Oreochromis niloticus: one gene and its partner. The protein of the gene in region 2 purifies or fractionates together with the protein of the main gene of each other region. This does not show direct contact. Links are inferred from orthologs where the notes say so. Each region holds a gene or a part of one and is shown on either strand. Other genes may lie near its edges. The genes, in order: timm13 and afg2b.

Evidence for each region.
Region 1: the proteins of afg2b (region 2) and timm13 purify together in Homo sapiens (co-immunoprecipitation; 3 studies listed by BioGRID and IntAct, with this or other methods). This does not show direct contact. The link is inferred for Oreochromis niloticus from reciprocal best matches to the Homo sapiens genes AFG2B and TIMM13.

The regions. Positions count from the first base shown.
Region 1 is NC_031986.2:44,780,682-44,784,476, reverse strand, and holds timm13 (mitochondrial import inner membrane translocase subunit Tim13), read right to left. Parts: upstream 2,482-3,795; 5' UTR 2,377-2,481; coding exon 2,257-2,376; intron 1,908-2,256; coding exon 1,839-1,907; intron 1,333-1,838; coding exon 1,234-1,332; 3' UTR 559-1,233; downstream 1-558. UniProt on the Homo sapiens protein: Mitochondrial intermembrane chaperone that participates in the import and insertion of some multi-pass transmembrane proteins into the mitochondrial inner membrane.
Region 2 is NC_031965.2:12,577,795-12,581,715, reverse strand, and holds the start of afg2b (ATPase family gene 2 protein homolog B), read left to right. Parts: upstream 1-1,030; 5' UTR 1,031-1,080; coding exon 1,081-1,096; exon of another isoform or gene 1,097-1,275; intron 1,276-1,362; coding exon 1,363-1,973; intron 1,974-2,070; coding exon 2,071-2,256; intron 2,257-2,376; coding exon 2,377-2,661; intron 2,662-3,485; coding exon 3,486-3,671; intron 3,672-3,921. UniProt on the Homo sapiens protein: ATP-dependent chaperone part of the 55LCC heterohexameric ATPase complex which is chromatin-associated and promotes replisome proteostasis to maintain replication fork progression and genome stability.

The DNA of each region.
Region 1 (3,795 bases), on a different chromosome or scaffold from region 2:
GGCCCATCCTCCTCCCACCTGAACTGTGGCTTAAACATTCAGCTAGCACGGATCATTTGGAGTATTTATTACATTTATTTATTGTCATGGATGGTAAACACACTGCACATGGCCTTGTGTGGAGAACATTCATTTATGGGTCAATATAATGGTATTGTGATCTTTTACTGTAAGGTGGATTTGTGGGGAAAGTCTACTCTGTACAAAGTCAGTGACGTGGGACTCGGTGTCGTTCTGTTGGTGGATATTCGCTCTTTTGATCAGAAACGAGAGAACACCTGATTGATGAGATTTATTATTTTTTCTTGGGGAAAAAAAATATCACTGATTGCAAAAGATGTTCACAGAGCTTTTCTGGCTCCTCACACAAACTCAGGAGGTTCCCAGATATCTAACAAACCGCATGCACACGAGGCTGAGAAAGGTGCAGTACCCCGTCTAGGGCGAGGGAGACCCCGCTGAAACAAACCCACTACTGTGGAGGGCAGCAGATAGAGTGACAACCAGAAAACATGTCAGACAAAACAGTGTTGTTCTCCAGCTGTACTTTGATATAGGTCTGTTTGGAGGCTTGTAAATGTCAAATTCATGCTGGTGAAAACACCAAATTGCTCCTCGATTCTTCCTGATGATTTTTAAGCACTTTTTTTCTTTCCTTTAAGGGCTCCAGGAAATATTTAGTCTCGAAGCTCAATCACCCGGCAAAGAATGTGAAACAGTGTTTAAAGGAGAGTCTGCAGTGACTGGGAGAAGTTTACTGTTACTGGTATTACAGGCAGAAGCATTCGATGGGCAGGCAGATGAGTCACAGTAAGTAAGGCGGGCCTATTGAGCCAAACTGCATCTGGAGTCCTTTTAGCAGCACAGCAGGCTCAGCCTCCTGTCGCAGCGTCAGCAAACACTTTCAGACACATTCACACTTAAGCAGGTAATTTAGTGTTTCCAATCAACATGGCAAGAACACGCAGAAAATGAATTATTATATTTCTAACGTAAAACACAATCGATTTAACATTGGTAGTGAACTGTTCCTCAGAGCAGAAAAACTGTCCACAGAGACACTGGTATGGCTGCAGTCCACAGGCTCTGCTCTGCCTGTCACAGGTATTGTGAAAGATGTTGCGCCGCTGTCGTGGCAAAACTCGTGCACAGCGTGGGCCCTCCTGCAGAGCACTGCATCGGCCCTCGCTGTGTGCGGCAGCCTGAAGAAGGGAAAGATGAAGAGAGAGGAGTTCACATGCGAGCTCTTTCTCGCTGCAGTCTGGAGTTGTATGTTCGGGACACGGTGTTCCAGGCGTCCATATACCGGTCCATACACATGGCGATACACTTCTGTTAGGGACAAGGCAAAAAAAAAAAAACACGGGTTAAAAGTCCAGAGAAATAATCCACTCGTGGTCTATAAAGAATTTAACCAATTTAAAACTGTGATTAATACCAAAAAAATGTTTCTGATGCACTCCTCCTTGTTTTCAAATATAAATATATATATAACAAGTTTATCCTAGGAGCAGTTCTGCAGGGAGAGACAGACCAACGCAGATCGACTCTAACCTGGAAACGAGACACTGATGAAGACTCGGGAGTCGATACATGTTGGTCCATCTTATCCTACGATAAACCTGTTATATTATTCTACAAGATGATGGAGTACCTCAGCAACACCTTATGTTTCTGGTATTGCGCTTGCATTTGACCCACTCAAAAACACCTGTCAGGTAAGCCTTTAGAGCCCTGCAGCACTTTCGTTATGCCCTCCTGTTTTCTTAAAAACGTGATCACTTCTTTGCTCGGAGCAGCAGTGCATCACTGAAGCAACTCAGTCCGCCAGTGCATACCTGCTCAGAGTTGTCCAGTGTGCTTCCAGGCTTGCCTATGCACTTCTTGAAGCATTTATCGGTCATTCTCTGAAATATGAAAAACAATCTTTTATTAGCATTTACAACTCTGACAGCAGCAGCGCAGAATATTTGCATGACTTTAAAAAAAAAAAAAAGACCCTCCAAAGTTGGTCTGGCTCAAAAGTATCTTTTTATGTCAGCAGCATTTCGGCTCGTGTGTTTATATGAGCCGTGTATTAACATGCTGACAGGATCCATAAACCTTACAGAAGTTATTGCGGGCTAAAAAATAAAATAGTCTTACACACAGGACGAAGAACAAAGCCATTGTACAGCTTTGACCCGTAAAGGTAAAAGCACTCAGCACTTACTCAATGTGTGCTTGCTAGCTTAGCAGCTGTGTTCATTGATTTACCTGCAGCAGCTCCTGAGCGTTAGCCACCGCGATCTGGACCTTGACCTGCTCCATGATGGTACCGGTGTCCATTTTTCCGCCGGACCCTCCTGCTGAGAAGTCTGAACCAAAGCCGTCCATTTCCGCCACAGTCGTGTTCTTCAAACTCACCTTTGCGGAGCTTCTTCCAATACACGTGCAAACAGCCGCTGCTAGCCTTAGCCGGCGTTAGTTTCCGATGCCCTTGACAGAAGCTGTGCCTGTTGCGTCATTTCCGTGTGAGCCACTCGGCGTCATGGGAAATGTAGTTTTTTTTTCCCAACAAAGGTTGTACTGCTACAAGTAGCATTTCTCCTACAGATCAGGTATAGTACTACTATTTACATTTTAACATTTAAAAACGGCATTTTTGTGGGACCATGTTGGCGATACAGGGAAGTACTGTGCAGGTTTGCATTTAGCATGTAAAAGCCAAATAAATGGTATTTAAAAGCAACTATTTAGCTCTCTTGCTAAGTAAATAAAATAAGGATGAAGCGGAGCTGAAGTTTATGCAATACTTTTTACATAGTCCTGTTATTTCAGCTGCTCTCCTGTCTGTTAATCATCATCATCATTATCTATACAATGTTTACTGAGCCAACGTTAGCATTTTTCTAGCCAATTAAGAGACACGTGTAGTGTCACTTTACGCCATATTTTCCCTTGCGTGAAAGTGAAGAAATTATCCAGAGGAAAAAAACGATATAAACCGCCGCTAAATTTTCTGTTGAATAATTTGATTCAAAATTTGCAAAGCGTGTAACGTTTAGGTGACTTCTCCCCTATTGGTTTCAGAGTTAGCGCATTAGAGTGTTGGACATAAAAACCCGACTTTAAAAAGTGCACATCCTGCAGAGCCGGTCAAAGTGCGGGACATTGTCTCAATATGCGGGACAGCGGCGCAAGGGGTAAAACATGCGGTGCAGTCCAACATGAAGGCATCTGGTCACCCCTACGGTTAACAGGTTAACACCTGATCCACCTTAACAAAAGTGCTTTTGTTTGCCACATGGTGGAGCTGTTCTCCGCTAAATACTCCCTCGAGTTGGACTAAGTTCAGTTAGGCTCTTTCACAGTGTGTTATCAACAGTTATCGATACATTTGTGACCGTTCATGAAGCAGATATTCTTTGTGCAGATCAACACTATGTGAGCTCAACTTTCCTGTCACTCCACATAATAAGACAATGACTTTAATCTGTAACGAGGCTAATTTCCTCTACTGAAATTAATTTTTTATTCATTTATTTTCCACCCATCAGTCATAATTTTGATTTCTTTTATTATTAACCAAAAACATAATAATAAAGTATTTAATGCACCCCTTAGATTTAGATTTTGAGCTGCTCCTTTTAAAGGATGACAGTGTGTAACTATTAAATAGTTACACACTGTCATCCTTTAAAAGGAGCAGCCAGTCTTTAAATTGTAGTCTGAGCACAAGTTTTCCTGATCCTCTGTGTGTTACTTTGATCAGGATACACTTCATCTTTTTAATAACTAAACTGCATTTCTCTT
Region 2 (3,921 bases):
GCATACATTAATAGAGAGAATATATAATTAAATACATTTCCTTATATTCTGCAGATAATCTTCAGAAAAATAATACAGCAAAAAGAAGACAAATAATGAGGGAATGTTGAAATAAACATTTATTCACACAATAATGGGTCATTTTTTGCACGTGGGTTTTGGGGTTTTTTTAGAGTAGCTTATCCATAGTTTTCTAATGACTGTTTTTATGGCAAATACTTTCATTCCAGTCCTTATACCTGACCCTTTTCAGAGGAGTGTTTTTTGTTACGCTACCTAATGCTGACCTATGAATCATTCAAACATAAAAAGGCACCTTACTCAAGAGATGAACCAGTGTTGTGTCTACACATTACAGACACCTTAGCAAAGAACCAATTTCAAATCATTTCTTTGGGCACTTTAGACCAGCAGCCTGTCACAAAACACGGCATTTGTTCTCATTTGTTAGGTTGAATTTATGAATTAACGCCAAAGATAACAAGGTTGACAGGCATAAAATTGGATCAACAAGTGGAGAACAACAGAAGAAGTGACAGGCCTAAAAAAACAAATGCAGCAGACAAATTATCTCTAAAAATAATCTCCTTTAGAAATCGGGGGGGGGGGGAGAACAGCAAAGACCTGATACAGGACCTGAGAGATTCATGTGGCCCTTCAGTTGCTTGGACCTCAACATTATTGAAGCAGTGTGGGATCACTTTGACAGAGAACAGAACAAAAGGCAGCCAACATCCAAAGAGCTTTGAATGTCTTTCTACAAGCCTGGAGAAATATTCCCGAAGACTACTTAAAGAAATTACAAGAAAACCTGACTAAGAGAGTTCAGACTGTGTTGAAGAATAAATACTCCTAAAGATTCCAAATATTGACTTTTATGTTCACTGAAATTGTAAAAACTCTCTTTATGTCTTATATACTGTATTTCCATATATGTTTGCACATGCTCCTATTTCCCTAGCAAAATATAAAGAAATTAGGGGTGACCCAAGACTTTTACGTAGTAAAGTGTCGACGCGGAAGATTAGCGTCACCTCACGCAGGAAGCTGTTTTGGTTGACCGTGTTGTTTTAATGCCACATGGATTTTGTAAACAGTAAAGTCTGAGTTGATATGTTCTGTGTAGTATATAGTTGGTATTAGCACCCATTTTATTTCTGATTGTTTAGGTGCTGTCGGCTGGTTTCAGCCGTTTCCGGTACATAAACCTCTTTGCCTTAGACCCAGCTTAGTCAGAGTTTTGTCCTACATGCTAACGGTTAGCATGTAGCCTCGGTGAAGTTTTATGCTGCCTCTGAGTTTCTGCTTAGTCTCTCTCCCTCACTAACGTTACGTGCGTCTCTGTCTCTATTTCCCCGTCAGGTGGCTGCAGGCGGAGCATGGAGCCTCTGAGGCTGCTTTCCGTGGATCCATCAGACCGGGGCTCTCAGAGATGCAGGCTTGGTCCGGGCATGATGTCGGCGCTGGGTGTGCACCTGGGCTCCCCTCTGCTGGTGTCTGTCCCCGGAGGAAGCTGCCTGTGCACTGCCTGGCCCCGGGCTGACCTGGCAGAGGGCTTCCTGCAGATGGACCTGAAATGTTTCTCCCCCAGTCTTCTCTCTCAGCTCCCCTCGCACCTGAGCCTGGACCCCGCTCAGGTGTCACCTGTGATCTGCTCCAAACTGAAAGGCGTCAGGATAACCGTGATAGTCCAGAGTGTCAATTTCAGGAAACGCACACCGCATCGCCTTGTTCATGAGCTTGTAAAAGACATGCTGAAAGGTGTTTGTGTCCATGATGGGTTTGTAATAAACCTGGAGGATTTCGACACAGAGATCAAATATGTTGTTATTGAAAGCATCAGTCCAGAGTCGGATAGTGCTGGATTCATCACCTCGAAGACTGCTGTTGAGATTGCTGGCATCCAGACACTCCGACATTACAGGAGTCAGCTGCAGGACCGGCACACAGTGCAGCTGGGGGGGCTGGAGGAGGTGAATTTCTTTAAATAATACCTAACAGAGTGTTTTTCCACTGTGCAACACCTAATGTGTGTGGTTTTTTTGTTTGTTTGTTTTTACAACATTTTAGGTGTCTGCATCACTTAGAGAGATGCTGAAGCTGCCACTTCTCTATCCAAGCACACTGAGCTCTCTCGGTGTATCCTGTCCCAGAGGGGTGCTTCTGGTGGGGCCTCCAGGTGTAGGCAAAACCTTGCTGGTCCGCCAAGTGGTGGGTGAGGTGGGAGCCTGCTTGGTGGTGGTCAGAGGGCCAGAGGTAAAAAAGATGATACTAAACACACCTCATCATAATATTGATGCCGTCTAATATTCCTCGTAATACGCGGAGCATTTTGCATGTAAATGCATTACCAGTAATTCTGAACAATAATTTCAGGTGGTGGGGGCTCGGCCTGGTGAGAGCGAGGAGGCGCTGCGGGCCGTGTTTGAGCGTGCTCGATCCGCAGCAGATGAAGGTCCCTGTGTGCTGTTCTTAGACGAGCTGGACTCTCTGTGTCCGAGGAGAACCAGCTCGTCGGCTCCGGAGAACCGGCTGGTTGCTCAGCTTCTCACACTCATGGACGGGATGAATCAGTCTGACCGCTTTCTCATCGTCGGAGCCACCAACCGGCCGGACAGCTTAGACCCAGCACTGCGCCGGCCAGGGAGATTTGACAGAGAGGTGTGTGTCCGCTCACTGTCACAGATCCAGTGTTTTTAATCTTTCTTGAGAAAGATGATATAAATTTCATCTTCTCTGTGAAGTGTAGATAATTGGGGTGCTTATGCAGGGGTTTCTCTCAGACGTTTGTAATGCTTCAGTTGACTGATTTGTCTAGCTTCAGATTTCACTAGAGATATCTTTGTTTCTAGAGATGCAGAGACAGAGATACAGTAATGTGCAAAAGTCTTGGGCCACATATCATTTCTTTTCTAGAAAAATTGGAAACAAATTAAATGTTTTATTAAAACATGTCCTAACATACATGAAAATGCACCATATAAGTTAAAAACAGAGTTTATACACTTTTAAGGAGCTTAAAACTCAATATTTGTTATGGCGACCTTTGTTCTTAAACACAGCCTGAACTCTCTTAGGCAAGGAAATAAAATAACGTTGGCTCACATGACTTCCCATACTTCAGTGAATAGGCTCGGGATCTGCAGCATGTCTCCTAAATGACGAGGCAAAACCCATGTGACACAGATACACTGTATGACCCTCCGGTGAAGCGTTTTGTTTTTGAAACATGTCTGGAGGAACAAAAGAGGATTTTATAAAAACAGAAGATGACAGACGACAACCGAACGCCTCGGTACACCTAATTCTTTAACACTGCTGGTAGTCACGACTACGTATAGATGTAAACATAGAGTTGGGTTTTTTTCTGATTATAAGGCAAGATGTACCTTTTTTACTTATATAAAATATCTGTCCAGGTCGGTGAGTTGGTGCAGATACGTGTATGTGAGTCGTTAGTCTCTGAGTGTTCGTCTTTCCCACAGGTTATAATCGGAGCTCCAACCTTGCAGCAGAGAAAGGCCATCTTGTCTGTCCTGTGTGAGAGGATGCCTGTGTGTCCCAGTGTGAACCTGACAGAGCTTGCACAAACAACTACAGGCTACGTGGGAGCAGACCTCAGTGCCCTGTGCAGGGAGGCCGCCATGCACGCTATACGGGAAGACTCCAAAGTAACGACAGCGACCTGTCACAGTGAAACAAAACACTAGTTTTTGCTGTTTTGCTACAGGAACGACACACTTTATTGCTAATTGTGCAGCTGTGTTGTAATTGTAAAGTCAAAGTTAAAGCCTGAATAAGAATCACATTTAGAAATTCATCTCAAAAGGCTCACAGTGAATGTGTTCTTTAGATGTGTGAAAGATTACATAGAAAATAATAGGGAGAGTGAGTGGATGACAGCTGTAAAAACCTGTTGCT